4 linked regions of the Drosophila melanogaster genome follow. The protein of the gene in region 4 interacts with the protein of the main gene of each other region in a pairwise test. Each region holds a gene or a part of one and is shown on either strand. Other genes may lie near its edges.

Region 1 (3,862 bases), 2.9 Mb from region 4:
GACTGTCGTTGCGAAACTACCATCTCATCACAAATCATACCCTGGAGCACCTGGTGCAGTGCTCTCCGAATCTGGTGTATATCGATGTTAGTGGCACCAGCATTACGCTTCCGGCAATTCGGCGCTTCAAGATCTCCAAACCGAAATGCGAAGTGGTCGCCAATCACTTGGAGGAGTTTGAAAGACTTCCGGAGCTGGAGACACAGGAAGAGGATGACACGGTGGTGGTGATGCTGCAGCCACCGCCGCGCGCCGACGACGAGCAGCCACCGAAATCGCCACCGCCACAGGAGGTGGTGGCTCCTTAGAATATTGTTTGTAAAGATTCCGTCGAAGTGGGCCGTGCTGGATTATTTTATTTTTTTTTAAGAAAAAAGACGACATGGCCAAGCCGATGGATCCACAACGCTGGCTACAAGCGAGTGCTGTAGCTCAGCCATCTAGTATTACGTTTGACTATTCGAGTCCTTGTAATATATACACGCCAGGCTAAACGCACTGTATAAATCAAAACCACAATTCAATTCCTTTAGCTAGGCATTAAAAAGAGCGCGCGAGATCCTTTTGGTAAATATGTATAATGAAATGTTTATTTGGTTGGTATGTAGTGGGTAAGGACAGGCCAATAGTTCGGTGACTCGAGTTAAAAATGTATGTAAACTGTATATAAGCGGTGTAAAATGTTTACTTGTCGACGCCATCCTCCTCTTCGGCATCCGACTCGTCCTCGGTATCTTCCGACTCGGTCTCCGATCCGCTGGAGCTCTGACAATCGGCAATCTCGCCGGTGAAGAAGATCACCGCCTTGGGAATCACGCGCTCCTTTAGATAGAAGCCCACCTCAAAATCGTTTTGCAGCATAGCCTGTGGGAGGAGATGCATGTGAAAGGATCGCAGATCGCTGATATTCAATCTTACATTGACGTCACAGTAGTTGGGGTCAAGGGTATCTTCTGGCAAAAGCGGCGGCGAGAAGAACTCAAAGAACGACGGCTCTTGATTTTCTGGTCAATGAGTGAATTCAACTAACATCTGTGAAATTTGATGCTCCCAGATGGCTTACCGGTTTTGGTCTGGTCCTTGGTCTGCTTCCAGTCGATGACGCAGCCTTCGCACTTGTAGATCTCGGCGCCATCATATGCGAGCGGATCGTCTGGATCCGGCAGGCAGTTGAGGAAATATGTCTTGGTCAGCACCGTGTTGGTAAAGTAATCATTGGGATCGAAGTGGAATTCGATATCAAACTTCACCACGGGTTCGTTGTACAGCCGAGAACGGATGTCGCTTAAGCACTGCGCGGGAAAAATTTCAATTAAAATTTAAATATCCTTCAAATCGGATCTATCCATAACATACCTCTAATATTTTCTCATCCCTCTTGCTGATGAACTCGGTGTACGATGCTTTGAGAACCCTCAGCCAAAAGTTGGGCACGCTCTGATTGGTTTCCACGTCGCCGTGGTTTTGCTTTCTAAACTCACTGCACCGATGGGATTTTTGGGGGAATTGAGATCTTGTTTAACCAAACACCATTAATGGACTTACTCTAGAATCTTCTTGCGCTTATCAAATATGATATTGTGCTTATCCTCGTACTTCTTCTCGATATTGTAAATGTCGCGCTGCAGAGCCACATCCAGGTTAATGGTCTCCAAATAGAGCTGCTTCAGTTCGGTAAGAGTTTTCTTCTCCTTCTCGGTGAAGTTTAAATCCGATTCCATCTTCGGTGGAGCGGTGTACTTCATCCGCGGAGGGTTTCGATTTCGCACAGTTTCCATTTATGTTTCGACACGATAATCAAAAGAAAAATAAAAAAAATATTTCTTGAAGTGATTTGGTTTTGTTCAAGTATAAAATTTGGACGTGTGCGTTTTCGCTGTGACTGCCGTTGTGGGAATGAAAAGTAGCTCTATCAGTTTCCCAAAACTCCCAGCACAAAAGGCAAGGCCCGCTTTTCACTAAAGTGCTGGAACTAACTAGATGTACTAGAAAATATTAAGCAATTTATTATTCTTTTTTTTTAAGCTACATTTTTAAACCCTCGTGTTATTGCTGTTTTAGTCACCCCTTTCGCCTTACTTTGCCCATTGAGATGCAGGCCATGTTTATTGGCAATTTAACGCACATTTAATTCCTGCTCTTTTCCTGTTTATATATTTTTGGTTTCCCCAAAATTTTTTGTTTGCTTCCGCCAACTTTTCATTTGGCATGTAATTAAGTGTGGGCCAAAAGCTTGGACTGGGTGCCGCCAGCCTGGCCTAAGTGTATGCAAATCACGTGCTGAGTGCTGTGCCGCCAAGGGTTCAGGTTCAGCCATTGCCATCGCCATCGCCATCGCCATCGCCTCCTGGAGTCTGTTAAATGGACCGTGGACCCAGTTTCTGGTCTATCCGAGAGTCGCTTGTCTTTTGTCGCTGGTTTTAATAATGTGGGCCAGGCTTAGTGCCATATGTCCGGCTGTGAAAAACAACAGAAAAAAGTGAAAAAAAAGAGTGAAATTGTCGCTTAGGCAAACATTTCAAAATGAAATTATGAGTGGGCCAGTGGCGGCGGGCGAAAAAAAAGTGTAAACAAATTCAGCCAAGCGGAAGTCCAGACACACACACACACACACAACAACGCACACACACATCCGCCAAATGAAAGCCGCAGAGGATAAGCGGGAAAAGCGGGAGATCGCATTGTTGTGCGCTGTTGAATGTTTGCCCACAAATACAAACACACACGACACACGGCACATGCACTTGTCCAGTCTCCACAGGACATCCACCACTCGCTGCTCTCATATTTGATATTATTAAATTTTTTCCCTAAATACCGCTGGGAAATTAAAAAGAAATCATAACGCAAATAGTGTAAGGCAGCCAGGCATCTGATGATGACGGCTCTGGCTGGCCAATTTCCACATTTGTACGAGTGTATGCCTGCACTGTGCAAAATAATTGGTATGTATATATATTTCACGTCATTATCATTAGCAGGAATGGAATATGCAAGATAGTTAGGTATTAATCCAAATGAGATGGAAATCGATAGTTGGGAACTAATCAAGATCAACTAATCAAGGACTCTTCAAGTGCACAACCATTTAAGCTATTCGGGCATTTTCAATTTACATTTCGGTCATTCAATTAGGCGGTGCATAAAATGTAGCTACATAAGTAATGGAGCAGCCCCATCATCATCAGCATCATCAGGATCATTTGGAGGAACATGGGGACCATGGCCATCACCCACGTGATTGCCGCTCGTCGGAGGTCGTCAGTGCCGGGAGCGTCAACATAGTTTGAATTTAATTAAAACCAAAATTAGTAGAGCCCAGCAGAATGGAATGGTTTGGCGCAGCCCGACCAACCGGAGCAACAGTTACTTGGCGCAGGGATTAAAGCTCCTGCTTCAGCTCCTTCCTGGCAAAAGTGCATGTCTGCAGAAAATCGAATCAGGAGCTCAACATCCTCATCCACGAGCCAGGCAACCTGGCAGCCTGGAACTCCTACGTTTCCACCTGCTCCTGAAACTGAAGCAACGGCGCCATGCCGAAATATCTGCAACAAAAGCATAAGATGTAGTGCGGCATTTGATGATGAAACGACGTGTTAATTAAGGTCATAATAATTCAACTTAAATTGAAAACTTGCCCGGCCCCAGAAACGCAACCATGGCAGGGCATGGCACTCACTAACCATTTTTGGTTGGTCGGGCATCGGGCATCGGGCGAAGGGCATCGCATCCTCGGAATCCTGGCCAGGCTAAGCTGATTGCAACAAATTATTTTGCACCTTGGTTGAACTTTCCTTGAGCTGCAGGCAGCATGGCGTTCATAAACGAATTTTGTTAGTTTGCTTTGCTTATTTTAAATGGA
Region 2 (5,749 bases), on a different chromosome or scaffold from region 4:
ATGGATAAATGAAGAATTTAGTTTTAAGCAGTCCTAAACAATTCTGAACGAAAATTAATTGGTTACTTAGTGATAAATGCAGAATAAATGTTTTAAATCAACAATACGAAATTCGAGCTTAAATTATTTCTAAAAAAACATCGTAACTGCGGATTAAAATTGGTTCTTAAAAACAATATTTTTTTAATAAATGAAGACGTTGTAAAAATTATAAATGAAGTGAAGAAAATGACCATGATGAGTTCGCAAACAAATGCTTAAACGTGTGGAAGTGGTTTGCCATCTTACTTATGTAACATAATATAAGTTTAATTAATCTACCGAGTACTAGTAAGAAACCTATTATTAATAACTAACACACTAAATTCAAAAAACGTAAAATCTGAAACTGATAATAAATTACAAACTCAAGAAACCAAATGAAGTTGTTTAAATTTTCTTATATACTTTAAGAAATCTCTTCTCAAAAGTGAAAGAACATCGATTTTTACCACTACAAATTTTTGAATCCCCAAAAGATTAAAATTATCAATTTAAATCCTTTTCTATATAGATTACTTATTTATTCATTGCATAACCAATAAGCAGTTACATATCTACAGCATAATAATTATTGCACAGGAAGTGTACGGGTAGCAGCCTCTGAGATTCCATCGGTTTCTCGAAGGGCCTAGTCCTCCGGCTGAGCCACCTGGGGCTGTTGCTTCTCCGCCTTCAGGCGCTGCTTCTCCTTGAGCAGGGCATAGCACTCGGGCACCTTGTTGTAGAAGTCGCACAGTTTCGTCTGCGAGTTGAAGGCCAGATACTTGCCGCAGTTGTACAGGCGCGGATGTCCGTTGACGCACACGAAGTACTTCTTGCAGGTCTGGGGATGGCGATAGTAGCGCAGCTCACCCTCCGGGCTGACATCCACGGCGGCGGCAGCGCTATCATCGGCGGAATCGGCGGCGGGGCAATTGAAGCCCAGGTACGCCTCGGCGTTGCAACTTTCCACTAGATCGGGCCAGTCGCACTGGTAGGTCTCCTCGTTGAACGCCAGGCCCTCGGGGCACTTGGTTAGGCTGGCCACGCCGTGGGCGCAGTTGCGATAGACGCCGCACTTGGTCGCATCTCCGTTCGGATAGAAGCCGAACTGGCGGGGACACTCCTCCGTTCCGTTGGCGGGCTGCAGGCGAGCCCTCTCCTTGCAGGTGGAGTACGGGGCGTATGTGCACTCTCCGGTCGCCTTGGTGCGCTGGTGGAAGAGCAGGCCGTCCGGACACAGCTTCTCCACGGGAGTACCATCCTGACACTCTGTGTAAGAGTCGCACTGGTCACCCGATGCAAATCGTCCATTGGGCGTGGGGCATTCCGGCGAGCCAAGAGCTGTAATTACAAAGAAATCACGCATTTATTAGCAAGATGTCATATAAATGAAGAGCTAGATTATTTATTGAATAAAGCTAAAGTGGTTTTTGTTTTTCCTTTTTTTTTTTTATTTCGACGCGCAAAATGTCAACAATCAGTTTGCCAAATTCTTTAACTACAGACTAGAAAACTCGAGCAACCTATCGCCATATGGCATGTGCATGGGAAAAATCACAACTGGATTGACTTAGTTCTTCCTGGCGTGAAGACGAGCAGCCTTGATTTGGGCACCCTTTTCACGGATGGCACTGCTGCAGTTGGGCACGTTCTCGATGTCGTCGCACTGGTTCAGCTCCTGGTTGAAAGCCTGGTCCTCGCCGCAGCCAATGCGACGCGGACGTCCCTCGATACAGATGAAGTACACCTGGCAATTGTCCTGCGACGGGTGGAAGGTGTAGTCAGCCTCCTGCTCGCCGAGCAGCTCAGATCTGGGTGCCGGCGCTGGGCAGCGGAAGCCCAGGAAGGCCTCGGCGTCACAGTCCTCCACCTGATCGGGCCAATCGCACTTGTAGGTGGCCGGATTCCAGGCCAGACCCTCGGGGCAGTCGAACACGAAGCCACGGCCCGCGGCGCAGTTCATGAACTGTCCACAATGGCTGGCATCACCCATGCGATAGTATCCGAACTGGTGGGGGCACTCATCCGTTGGCTGAGCGGCCTGCAGGCGGGCCTGGCCCTGGGTGCACTCCACGTCGATCGGATAGCCGCAGGGGTAACCCGTGGACTTTTCGTTGTACAGCAGACCGTCGGGGCAGAGCTTCTCCTCGGCCACTCCGTTCTTGCACTCAATGTAGGCATCGCAGGATCCGGACACGGGAGCAGTTCCATTCGCCTCCTTGCATGCACCGGCGGCGGCGGCAGCTGGAAGAAATAGCGTACGTCGGTTAATATCGATCCATGGGATTGCGTTTGCTAGCTTACCTCTAATGAGTTATGATGGGAAACTGGCTCTTTTTTATTTTTTGTTTTAACTATTTGATACGTACTTTATGATCAACGACAAGTCGTGGGATTGCCGTAGGGCAACATTCCACTTGACAATGGATTTTCTCGTCTTCCCGCGATATTACATACACATACCCGGGTATTGAAACTTTAATGACTTTGTGGGCACATACCCCGGTTGTTGAACCCGCGAATATAATTCAAAGATGTTTATTTAATGCGATGTAACAGAAAAGAGTTTAAGTGGTAGACAAGTGCCAGGGACTTTGATGAAGTGATGGTAGTTGTTTTAAGTTGTTTCAAATGTTAGTATATAGTGGGATTGGGATTTTAGGGAATTTTTTGGGATTTTTAGGGATGCATACAAACCATCGCTTATAATGCCATCTAATTTTAAAAGCTGTGCTAAAAATCTTTTCATATTAAATCGTTAAGGCCCTATACTCGAGTGGCTGTACTATTAAAAACCTGTTACCCTATTAACCAGTTTAAAATTCAATGGACACATTTAGCTGCTGTCACTGACGTCATTAGTCGCTTTTTTTTAATTTTACGCCGATCAATTTAAAATCACACAAATTTATTTAAAAATGCTGGTTATCTTGTGAATGTTCACAACGTTAACGATTTGTGTGGTTTTCATTATTTTTTTTTGCTATCCTATTTGATAATTTTAAAGCTTCAACCAAAGTAACCGGCTTTTCCCTATTTGAACCCAAAAAAATTGAATCCATAAACATGCAATTACTTTTCCCATATGTGTTCAAATAGATTTCGGACAAAACGTGACGTTCATCTCGAAATCTGATTCGCGACCGTTGGTTTTTTCGAAACCTGACACACTGAAGATTATGTCGTACTGAATCGAAAGAGGTGCAAACGCGCTTAAAGGTCACAACAACCGGCTGGGCACGCACCGAGATGGATCTGTCGCCTCCAGCTCCCCCAACATGTCTGACCGCTATCCGCGAGATAAACCCGTTCCACACAATGGACCGACCATTGGTGCCAGGCAAAGATTATGCAATAGCCATGTTTCTCTGCCCGCTTCGGCGTGTGAATCAAATTTCTGAAAAGGCTGCCTGCTGACCTTGAAATATCAATGAAATTTCGGTGGGATTTTACATATTAGCCATCACGTTGGCAATAATTACTAGCTTTCTTTGCATTTCTCTATAAAACATTTACTTTAGTTACTTTGCATGAAAATTCGCGTAATTTCCTGCTATTGTGAATCGAATGAGTAGCAGTTTTACGCGTTGTAAAAGTGAATAATTGCACATATGTATGTAGTTTCATCCAAACGTGGGACATACGATAATGTGGGTCTTGGCACTTTTTTCTATGAAATACGAATTTGTTTATATAGGAAGCAATAAGAATTAACTTTAATTCGTTTCCGCACCATTGAATCTTTAATTCTTCAAGATGAAATGAGTTAAATGTGTTAATGTTTCCTGAAATTTTGTGCTGACGTACATATATGCAAATGTTTGTGTCACCTTCTCGAACTTTTCGCCACTATAGAGTATAGCACCAGAAAAGTTTGTGACCAAAGTCATTTGTTTTGCGAAATAATAGTATTAAAAACTATAGTATACTAACCCATTGAGCCAAACATGGCAACGCACAATAGAGCACTGATTAAGATTTTAGCCATTTTGTTTAAATCCTCTTGTTGTTTTCGAATGGCAATGTGATCACTAAAAGTTAAACTAAGGAAGAGCTACTGCGATGCTCAGCCAACGAGCTGACAATTTCGACTGTTTCGCGCTAGAAACGCAACGCAGATATTAACTGGCAACCTCACACTCGAAGCTGAAGCTGCTCCGGCTGAAGCTCTTTTGGATGATGATCATCGGAGCGAGCCGAAACGTCGCCGGAGCTTGGGGATCTTCCCCTGCTGCCTGGTGGGGATTCGCAACAGCTTTTGCCGCCGCCGTCGTAATCTCAGCCTCACTCAATTGCCATGAAAACAAACTTGTCAATAAATAACGAATAAACGAAAAAGACATTCGATGGCACAATATTTCGACAGAAATGAAACATTAATGCAACTGCGATTATAACTTAAGTTGACTCTCCAACCACATTTTGTACATGGAGATATTGATTCTTTCATAATAAGATTTCTTGTGGGGATTTGTTTCTGCTCATAAAATTGTCAGATTCCCGAAGAAAAAATGAAGAATAAATACTTTCGACTCACTTTCGTTCGAGTTGAGTCAGTTCATCAAACCGGAAAGCTCTGCGTTAAGTTTCAGTTAGCAACTGTTTTAAATATTAATCAACGAAGTTTGTATCTAATTTATGTTCGATTTGATTTCCATATTTCGCACTTTTGTTTTCGGTGAACAGCCAGCCGAAAATGAATAAAAACCAGAAAATCCAACATAAAGTCAAGGCCGACTGCGCCCATGAGGCCGTACCAATCACGAAAATCTGACAATGATCTTGGTATTAGGCCTTAGCTTGGGCTGTGGGGATTTTTAAAGAACCAAAGCTTAAATTAAGTAATGAGACAGAAAAACGTGTTTAAGGCATCGAAACAAATGAAATTTGACAGAGATATCGTACGTATACCCAATCGACCATTTGTTTTAAATTTGTGGTTAAATTTATAGACTTTTATATTGATTTTTTTTTCTTCTTTATTTTATCGTTTTTTTTTTTTTTGTGTAGCTTTCCTTAGGTTTTAGCTAGTAGTCCATGCTCAGCAGAGTTGCAATTACCTATTAAAACATTTTTATTTGGACATATGAGGCGTTCTTGAAATATGTGTAAATCTAAATTTTACGATCAAGGACTTCTAGTCAAATTAGTTATAAATCCTAATAAAATTAGATGACAACTTAATTAAAAGTATTCTTCATTAAACAAAAGAAGTTAAATAATTGGCAGGCTGTGAATCATCAAGAAGACTCATTCAATAGGAATTGTGACATAGACTCAAGTTATAAAAAATAATCTATTTCGATATATAGTAAACATTATAGTTTAATACATTGCCCTTCGGTTTTATTTATATACATACAAAAATATGCTGTATGCATGAACACACAGCGTTGCCAATTTAATTGCAAACTAAATAGTATTCAGCTGCTTGATTAATGGACTTACAAATAATTTATGTTTATCGTTTTGTCTAAGGCACTTTTACACTTTTCTTTACATCATACAAATATATTCTTTAATTCAAATTGTTGTATTCTAATTATATTTTAATTCTGCTCTTAGCTACATTTTCAACATTTTTATTATGTTTAGTGATATTTTAGTCTTACGAATGGAAAATATGCAATTAAATCAATTTTTGAGCGAAGACTTGATTTGCAAACATGATATCAGCGGAATCAAGGCTTATGTAATTATACAAACACCAATTGTTGTATGTTGT
Region 3 (4,886 bases), 6.1 Mb from region 4:
CTTCATAACGAATATGTTCAAACGCATATCACAACTGAAATTGGACACCAGAATTCAATATTGATATTGCAATTTATTTCATTTTCGCGATTCGTCCGTCCGCCGTACGACTTACACTGCTCCCCTGGGAGCGCGACAATGAAAATGTAATAAATTATATTTGTTTGCCCAACCGATATGACTGCTATGATAAACAGAAAAAGTGTAATGAAATTTACAATGTAAACGCTGCGGTTTGCTCAATAACGAGCGGAGCATGTGAAAGTGAAAATATATGAATATGCTTTATCAATGAAGGCGTTGGAGTGTTATTATTATTATACCGCTACCATTTATGAATATTTTATGCGATACCGAATCGGGCTTGCTTGCTGCCATTCCATGATTATTTCCACTTTTTAATCTTTCAGGCCAAAATACGAAGGCTAACTTCAAGCGCCTATTTTAATCAAATATTTAAATGAGCGCAAACGAAAAGTCGGGCCCAAGTAGCCCGGAGCATTTCCCAAACTTGGCAGCTACAATTTTTAGGGCCATTTCAGCTGCCACGCTGTTACATCTGCATTTTTGCGGGCTATACAGCGGTGTATGTACATATGTGCTGTTTGTTGCATGCCACATGCAACACGTGCGGAAGGCACAACACACCGATGCACCAATAGAAAGGCACACCAACAACCCGCAGCTCAGCCATCAACTGGGTCACAATTTAGTCGAGGTAAATGGGGGCTTGGAGTCCGCTTGGCCGAATCCATGGATGCCCTGAAAGTTTCCTTACTAATGACAAAGAAAATTTTTGTGAAATAAATTCTAGCCCAGAATTCAAGGAAAAATTATAAATTATTACTTTCCCAATTCTTCACATAGAATAATATTTTAATCTTGAATAGCCGAAGAATGGAGATTCCTTGAGTATTTTTTAAAAATCGCAGAGTAGCGCCAAAATGGCAGAATGGCGTTTTTAAAACAAAGCTACAAAGGGTGCATACGTCTGGTTAATTATACAAAAGTCGGGCCAAAACAGGTAACGCACACACTTTTGGCCAAGAAATTTATGCGCCACGACGAGTGCAGGGCAATTAAGGCACTGCGAACGTTGAGTTCTCGCGGAGTTTTTGGGTTTGGGCTTGGGAGTTGCCCAGGTAATGGGTCGCCTTGGGGCAGGATTGGCATAAGCGAGTGGAGCACAAAATGGCAGCCCTGGCCGGAAAAGTTACCTCCAATTGAAAAGAGGAAAACTTGGCCTGCAAAGCAATGATAAGTTACACGGAGAAAAGCACAGTGAGTTCGGCGAGCCGTAAGGGATTTCTACCTGCCAGCCGGCAATGCTTTAAATACTTTAAACAAACCAGCCAGCGGAGCGGAGAAAATATCGATTTTCGCCCATCTTGGCAGACATTTCTGTAGCCCATTAGGAGCCCGGTCATAAGATATATGAAAGTATACACGAGTACAATGTGTACATGCCTGTTGTTCGTTTGGCCATTGGTATGTAACTGCTAGACTTTTTCCACCCCATGTTTGCTCACTGTGATTGCCAAATAGGGAATATTAATCAGGAGAGCATTCCACCGGCAGTACCTATTTGCGAATGACCTCGGGGCCTCTGACATCCTTCCAATTGAGCGAATTTTAATTACGTGCAGCATTTGGCATTTTGATAACGGTAAGGCACTGTCAACAGAAGGTCCTTGTGCTATTTTCGTGCCAGTCGAGAGAGAGACAAGAGTGTAAATAAGTCTCGATTCCCAGGGCTTTGCAAATTGTTTGGCCAGGCTTATTGGGTAAGGGGCCAAAGTTTCTTCGATGGGGCCATTTGTCGCTGCTATTTGGCGATGACGGGCACGCCATTTGATAATTGCGACAAAATGACGCCGCTGCGAAAGTAAAAACAAAACGATATTTACTCGGCCCAGTTGAAAAAGTCCCCTTTCCTTTTTGCCCAAAGGCCCGTCGTTCCGCCTGTCAATTTAGCGCCAAACTGACAATAACTGAGTTAATGATGAGCCTGCCATTAGGCCGGCGCAAAATGAGGCACAGTGCACACAACATGGCCACGGGACGGCCACAGGATGTGGATGCCGTGCTCTCCGCAAAAGTTGAGTTTGTACAGTGAAAAATAATATCATAAAGTCATCAGCTGGCCGACCAAAAAAATATTTTGCTGCCTGATCTACCTGCAAATAAACGTTGGGAGAAATTTGAAAATATCCTATAGTTGTTAACAATTATTTATCCATTTATTTGTTTGGTTAAAGCAATTAAAGCAACAAACTATTAGTTTTCCTAACAACTTATTATCACATAGGCTCATGAATTTAAACCTTGCTTTTTTTTTGTACAGTGCATCTTTTGGATAAAGGGAACTGAGCGGAAAATGCGGCAAAAGCAATTGTACATTCAACTCGGTGTCCGCCCGGGCATTTATCAAATATAATGGTCATTCACTATCGTCCGACCAACTAAAACAACTGTCAGCAAATTGCCGTGGGCACGCAAAGCTAAATGTCTAATAAACTTTGACATATTGAGGCAAATATTTCTATTTGGCAACTTTTGCAGACAGAATCGCAGAACCTCATAAATTAAGGACAATGATAGCGTGAACCAAAATATCCGTCCGGGAACAAAAATAAATTAGAGCGCAGAGAAGTATGCTTTAATATCCGGGGCCAAGTGGAATGGCATTGTGTGTGCGACGCATTCGCTTATGTATGATTCACAAAAAAACAAAGCATGTGTGTGTGTGTGTGGGTGGATAATTTACATTTGTTTGAGCCGCGCGATTCCTTTTATTGGACGACGATTCCCTCGGCTTTTGTTTATTTGCAACTTGTGATTTATCTGTGTGTTTGCTGCTTTTTTTTTAGCTTCTTTCTCCGGGGCCTGCTTTCACTCGCGCAATAACTTTCCACTTTCACTGGCCGACTCGTATGATAAGAAACGCGAAACGCGCGCGCGACTTTTCCCAAGGAGTTTTCCCAGTCCGCTACGATTTTGCGCCGCACTCTGTCCGCCGGAGTGAACAATTCGCCTGAATCAGCCGTCGACGACTGAGCGCTTCCTGCCGAAGGAGCGCCGTATTAAAGGCGGCTCGCAGGACACTTGTCCGCTTTTCCTTTGTCGGCTGCCACCCACTCAGCTGTTTGTTGTTGCTGGTCGTCGGGAAAGCTTTTCGAAACCAGAAGCTCGCTCTCGAGCTCTATCTCGCTCTAGCATCTGCTGCTACCTGCCAATAGATGGCGCCTGGCTGACTTAAAATAAAAGTATATAAACAAAGGTTTTCAGTATAGGTGGTAATTTGTTGTTTAATTTGAATAAGCTAATTAGAAATTATTCATTTATCCATTCTAATAATTATAATAAATATAGTGATCATAATTAATAATAAATCATAAATATTAAAAACTATATATATGTATATAAGCAGATACATTTTTGAAAGTCTAGAAAGCATTTTGTGGGCCTTGTAGTTTTGATTTGTTGGATGCGGATCAAATCACCCGCTGAATTTTTACCGGCAAGTGTTTACTTTGCATACAATTTTCCAGCGTCACCTCGCACCAACTTCCGTTTTCGGCGTTATTTATTGCCATTCTTATTTACCTTCCTGCTGATTTCTGTAACTTTTCGCCTCAGTCAATGGCTCACGCATAATTTACCTACGACAATGGATTTTCGGGCAGCTCCAGTCAAGCAGATGAACATTTCGGCGCTCCAGACGCAGCAAATAAATTAGAGACACTTGCAGTGCAAACGGTAAACAGAAGTGCTCGTATGGTACGGTAATTGAAATTGAATGGGTGGGCGGTCCGTGGTCGGGTGGGTGAAGGGGTGACAAGGTCGACCAATGGGGCGCACTGGGGCGTGGCTAAGCAAGCACCTGTTAGCGACAAAACACCAAGGCAAACCCACTCGGAAAGCCGCAACACCGGCCGTTGCAGAGTGCATCAATCGGATATTCATGTGCGCTTAAGCGCCGCATAAATTAATTACTCTCCGCAAACATAATTAAATGCATTGTCCAAGTTTTAATTGTGCTAGCTTTTGGCGCCGTTTATTCGCGGATCGCACACTGGTCGAAAGAGCACCCGCTCACTGACAGGACATCGCTGGCGGTGACATTGAAGGAGGAGCAGGAGCTGGCAGTCAGGAAACCAGGTATCATAGTGAATGCGCTGCCTGCAGACTGTCAAAGTCATTGTCACTCTGCCGGGGGCTATGGCTCTAAACAATCACAAAAACTACGCCGGGATACCCCTTGCCCTTTCACCCTTTTATGGTTACCATGAAACCAGAGGGAAGTCTAAATACTGACAACGAAGTTTCGAATACCCTAAGGTACAAACTTAAAAATCAAAATATAGAGAGGTGATAAATGTTTTCAGCTTACAGAAACGTTAATTTATTTTATATTTTAAAACAACTTTAGCTCAAGTTAAAAAAGTTAAAAAAGGTACTTGAAAGATTACCGAAGACTCGAAGACCTTCTGTTCTGGACACTTGTGGTCGTAACTAGTCATCCTTTTGATTCAGTTTCAGTTGGGTGGGCACTGGTAAGGGAGCTGTGGATAACCGCGAGTTAAAAGAAGCCAACTCATCGAGAGGTCCTGCCAACATTGTGCTGGGGAAATGGACCGCGTACGTTGCAGGAGAAAAATACGTACAGCCCCTGGACTTTAATCAAGTTCAGTTGCCAGAAGATGACTATCGGGCTGGCATTTAATTAAGAGGCCGAAACGAAGAAAGGGTTACCAAACTTTGCTGGCATCTCAATTGCTATTGCTGCACACGCCATCTAGAGTCTCACGAAAATATTCCATTCTGTTTCGGTTTTGTTTGTTTTTTTTTTTTTTGTTTTTGGGCGGTGCCCAGCGGGCGTAACT
Region 4 (3,256 bases):
TCCTCAGCTGCTGGTTGGGATGTCGTTTAATTTAACGCTAGCCAAAACAACTTTCCCAAAATATTGTTTAATACTTTTCAGATAGGTGTTGTGTACATATGTTTCGATTCGAGGGTTGTATTTCCGATTGCCTCGGCAGGTTGCCAGCTTGTTTTTTTCGGCATTTCTATAGAAAAGTCGATAGTTGACAACAATTGTACAAATGCACAGTTTCATTTGAAATAACCGCGAATGCCCACATAAAACATATGATTTTAGCACATTGAATCATGCGGAAGTGGGACAAAGAGTTTTTAGAATAATATGTTATCTATTTAACTGGAAATTGTTAACCAATCTGTCCCAAACACTCGTAATAATTTAATATTTTAAACTGTATTATAACGTATTATACAGCTGGAAAGTATATTTTGAAACGGACGAGATGGAATTGAAACAGATCAGCTGTTTCGGGTTTTTAGTGTTTTCGTATCATGTACCAGGTACATACTTAGGTACATAACTAAGTACTTCTCGCAACGATTGTATCAGAGAAATAAAATTCGTCTTTATATTATAAACTTATTATTCTTATATCGAGAATCAAATAGTAAAAACAGATCTTATCAAGATAGAAATCCCTGGAGCGTCTCAAAGGATAAAGACGCGCTGTTTAAGGACTGCACATTCTGCACCGCGAATCCCTTGAAATTCGTGCACTGATGAAAGGCAGGATCCATCATAAGCAGCGATTGTGTTTTTTGGTTTGACAAGCCAAAGAAAACCTCGCCCTGTACGTCGAACGGTATTTTAATTTTAACGCAGGGAGACCGCTGAATGGAGTTTAGAAGCTCCATGTGACACATATTGGCGCTTTCTCCGAAGAAAACTCCATCCAGATCATTGTCGGGTATTATTTGGAACTGAGGAATCCCGGCGTTATTTAAAATCTTACATGTGAACACACACTTCTTGCGCGGATCCTTGGGATGGGCGTAGATTCGTGTGGCCACATATCCCACGGGATATATCCAGCTCTCAGTGTGAAAATTGGGATTCACTGATATAATCTCGCCCAGTGAGTGGAGTAATACATTATTTAGGTTCATCGGAAACATGGGCTTCTTTTTCCGTACAATTGTAACATTTTTTGGCTTATCTTCGACGGGGTTCTTATGCGAAACTACAGGACTGTATTTCTTTGTGGTTTCAGCGGCGTCGTTTTTTCCATTCGAGACACTGGGTCGTCCACTGTTGGATTTCTCCAAGCCCTCGTGAAACATGAGGCGCTCTATCAAGTAAAGTCTTTGGGATCGGGTCACAGATAGTTCGGCCTGCAGACGACAGATCTCATCCGTGAGGGCGGCGTTCTCCTGAAATTGGTATTATAAAGTTAATAGATCATATAACTTCCCGTAAATGTTTTATGCTATAATGTAAACATATATGTGAGTAGGAATCTTAAGGTTTCTTGTAAATACTCTTAAGTTTGCATAACTTCGCCCTAGTTTCTAAGATCTTACCAGTAGATAACTCTTGACGGAGCGTTTTAAGCTCTCGTAGCGCCGCTTATACTTTAAATTCATTGCTTTTTAATTTATAATTTCAGCAAAAACAAGAGATACGATTTGTTTGTTGTTATTGCCGTGGGTTTGTTATGATTATCGGACTGCAGGGCTGCCATTCGTAAGTTATCGAAATACGGTATTCGGTAGATTCATTTATGTTGGTATATCTTACATACCAAATTAATAAACAAAACTGATCTAATCTAATCTTTGTTTATTTTAAAAGATATAAATAAAGTTTTAAAGGGTGCGAAAAAAACAAACGGAGACGTTAATTCGAATTGAAATTAAGGAAATTCCTAATGGATTTGCAAATCCTCTTAGCCTAATTCAATCTGGCATTCTGACCTTGCAAAGGACTTAATCATGTTAAAAAGTTACTTCCGGCGCTCGGAATTAAGGATATTTGAAAAAATAAGGTATGTTTTTAAAGTAGTTAAATAGTTGCGCACATAATTTAGCTTGGCATCTGAAAATGTGCCTTAAAGTGCGTAGTTTGACCATGGAAGCACCAGTCTGCAAAGGTAGTTACAAGAATACCAACACCTAGCCCTTCAAGAGTATATGTACATAAACAGGTGTGCGTGAGGCTTACCACCATTAGAACCATTGATGATTGGTAACTTCTTAATGGATTTTCATTCAACAATTTCAAGAGTTACAAACTATAAGTTTTTAAAATCATTAGCATGAGAGCTAGAAAAAACGTCCGATCACCATGGCAACAGGTGTCTGTCTGTATGTATCATCCCGTTCCTTCCCATTTCCCCACTTTCGCCCAATGTTAGATACTACAAACATCCATAGCTCATTATAATGTGTTTGCGATAGTGTAGGGAAGAGCGTGTGAATACCACTGAGAAAAATCTACGTCGGAGAGCAGCTTTGGCAATGAATCACATCGTTTGTTCGTTTCGGTTTCGGTGCAAATAAGCCGTTAGTATGTTTCTACACTCCGGTGACACTTGTTGGATTCCGATTTCGATTCAGTGCCTCTGAAGCTAAAAACGCAACATCACAATGGACGAGGAGCAGATGTGGAAGGGCTTCTTCTTCAAGTTGCAGGAGCTCAAAATGAATCCACCCACGGAGCATGAACACCAGTAAGTTGGATGAATAAAATACAGACTCACGCATACCTGTAGAAAACTTGAAAACTCACCGATAGACAAACATTTGTTCGCCAGACGAGCCGAAATGTGTGTTTCTATTTCTCTAGACAAATATGAACATTTTGGAGAACTGGAACTGTGTCATCAGATAAATTAAAGATTATCAAGTGAAATTAACGTGTGTGCGTGAGGAATGGCAAGTGATGTAAGGGAGTGGGGGAAGCCACAGATCGATTTTACCACCCACTCGCAACTAAAACATGACTCAGTTTTAGGGTATTTTTCACTGGGCTTTCAAATACATCTACATAAGCTTGCTCATAGTACGAGTATCCCTAATCGAAATGAAATCCCCATTAAGTGATGACTAGCCAGTGCAGATAATATTTAATGACTTTTTTCGAATTATTTACTAATTGCACTTTTTCCGCAGACTGCAAGACGGAGATGATGGATTTTTCGAAAAGTTTGGATCCCTACTGCGGCAGAAGTCCCAAATCGATGAGGGCGTCCTCAAAAGTTCACTGGCTCCCTTGGAGGAAAATGGCAGCGGCGGAGAAGAAGATTCGGACGAGAGTCCCGATGGCACTTTGCAAC

Evidence for each region.
Region 1: the proteins of CG31111 (region 4) and mil interact in a two-hybrid assay, tested with the Drosophila melanogaster proteins (one large-scale study listed by BioGRID).
Region 2: the proteins of CG31111 (region 4) and obst-E interact in a two-hybrid assay, tested with the Drosophila melanogaster proteins (one large-scale study listed by BioGRID).
Region 3: the proteins of CG31111 (region 4) and Gycbeta100B interact in a two-hybrid assay, tested with the Drosophila melanogaster proteins (one large-scale study listed by BioGRID).

Annotation. Positions count from the first base shown.
Region 1 is NT_033777.3:27,910,484-27,914,345, reverse strand, and holds mil (milkah), read right to left. Parts: upstream 1,900-3,862; 5' UTR 1,779-1,899; coding exon 1,546-1,778; intron 1,481-1,545; coding exon 1,357-1,480; intron 1,293-1,356; coding exon 1,064-1,292; intron 1,005-1,063; coding exon 919-1,004; intron 865-918; coding exon 685-864; 3' UTR 561-684; downstream 1-560. Other genes in the region: CG5003 (uncharacterized protein), read left to right, coding at 1-308.
Region 2 is NT_033779.5:5,762,004-5,767,752, forward strand, and holds obst-E (obstructor-E), read right to left. Parts: upstream 4,140-5,749; 5' UTR 4,013-4,139; coding exon 3,958-4,012; intron 2,269-3,957; coding exon of another isoform or gene 1,595-2,268; exon of another isoform or gene 1,457-1,594; intron 1,366-1,456; coding exon 671-1,365; 3' UTR 550-670; downstream 1-549. UniProt on the Drosophila melanogaster protein: Chitin-binding protein that is important for the longitudinal contraction and lateral expansion of the larval cuticle during its conversion into the oval-shaped puparium case. Essential for survival to the second instar larval stage.
Region 3 is NT_033777.3:31,132,550-31,137,435, reverse strand, and holds the start of Gycbeta100B (guanylyl cyclase beta-subunit at 100B), read right to left. Parts: upstream 3,045-4,886; 5' UTR 2,768-3,044; intron 35-2,767; 5' UTR 1-34.
Region 4 is NT_033777.3:25,054,533-25,057,788, forward strand, and holds CG31111 (uncharacterized protein), read right to left. Parts: upstream 1,646-3,256; 5' UTR 1,566-1,645; coding exon 1,503-1,565; intron 1,353-1,502; coding exon 606-1,352; 3' UTR 544-605; downstream 1-543. Other genes in the region: stac (staccato), read left to right, coding at 2,568-2,650, 3,093-3,256.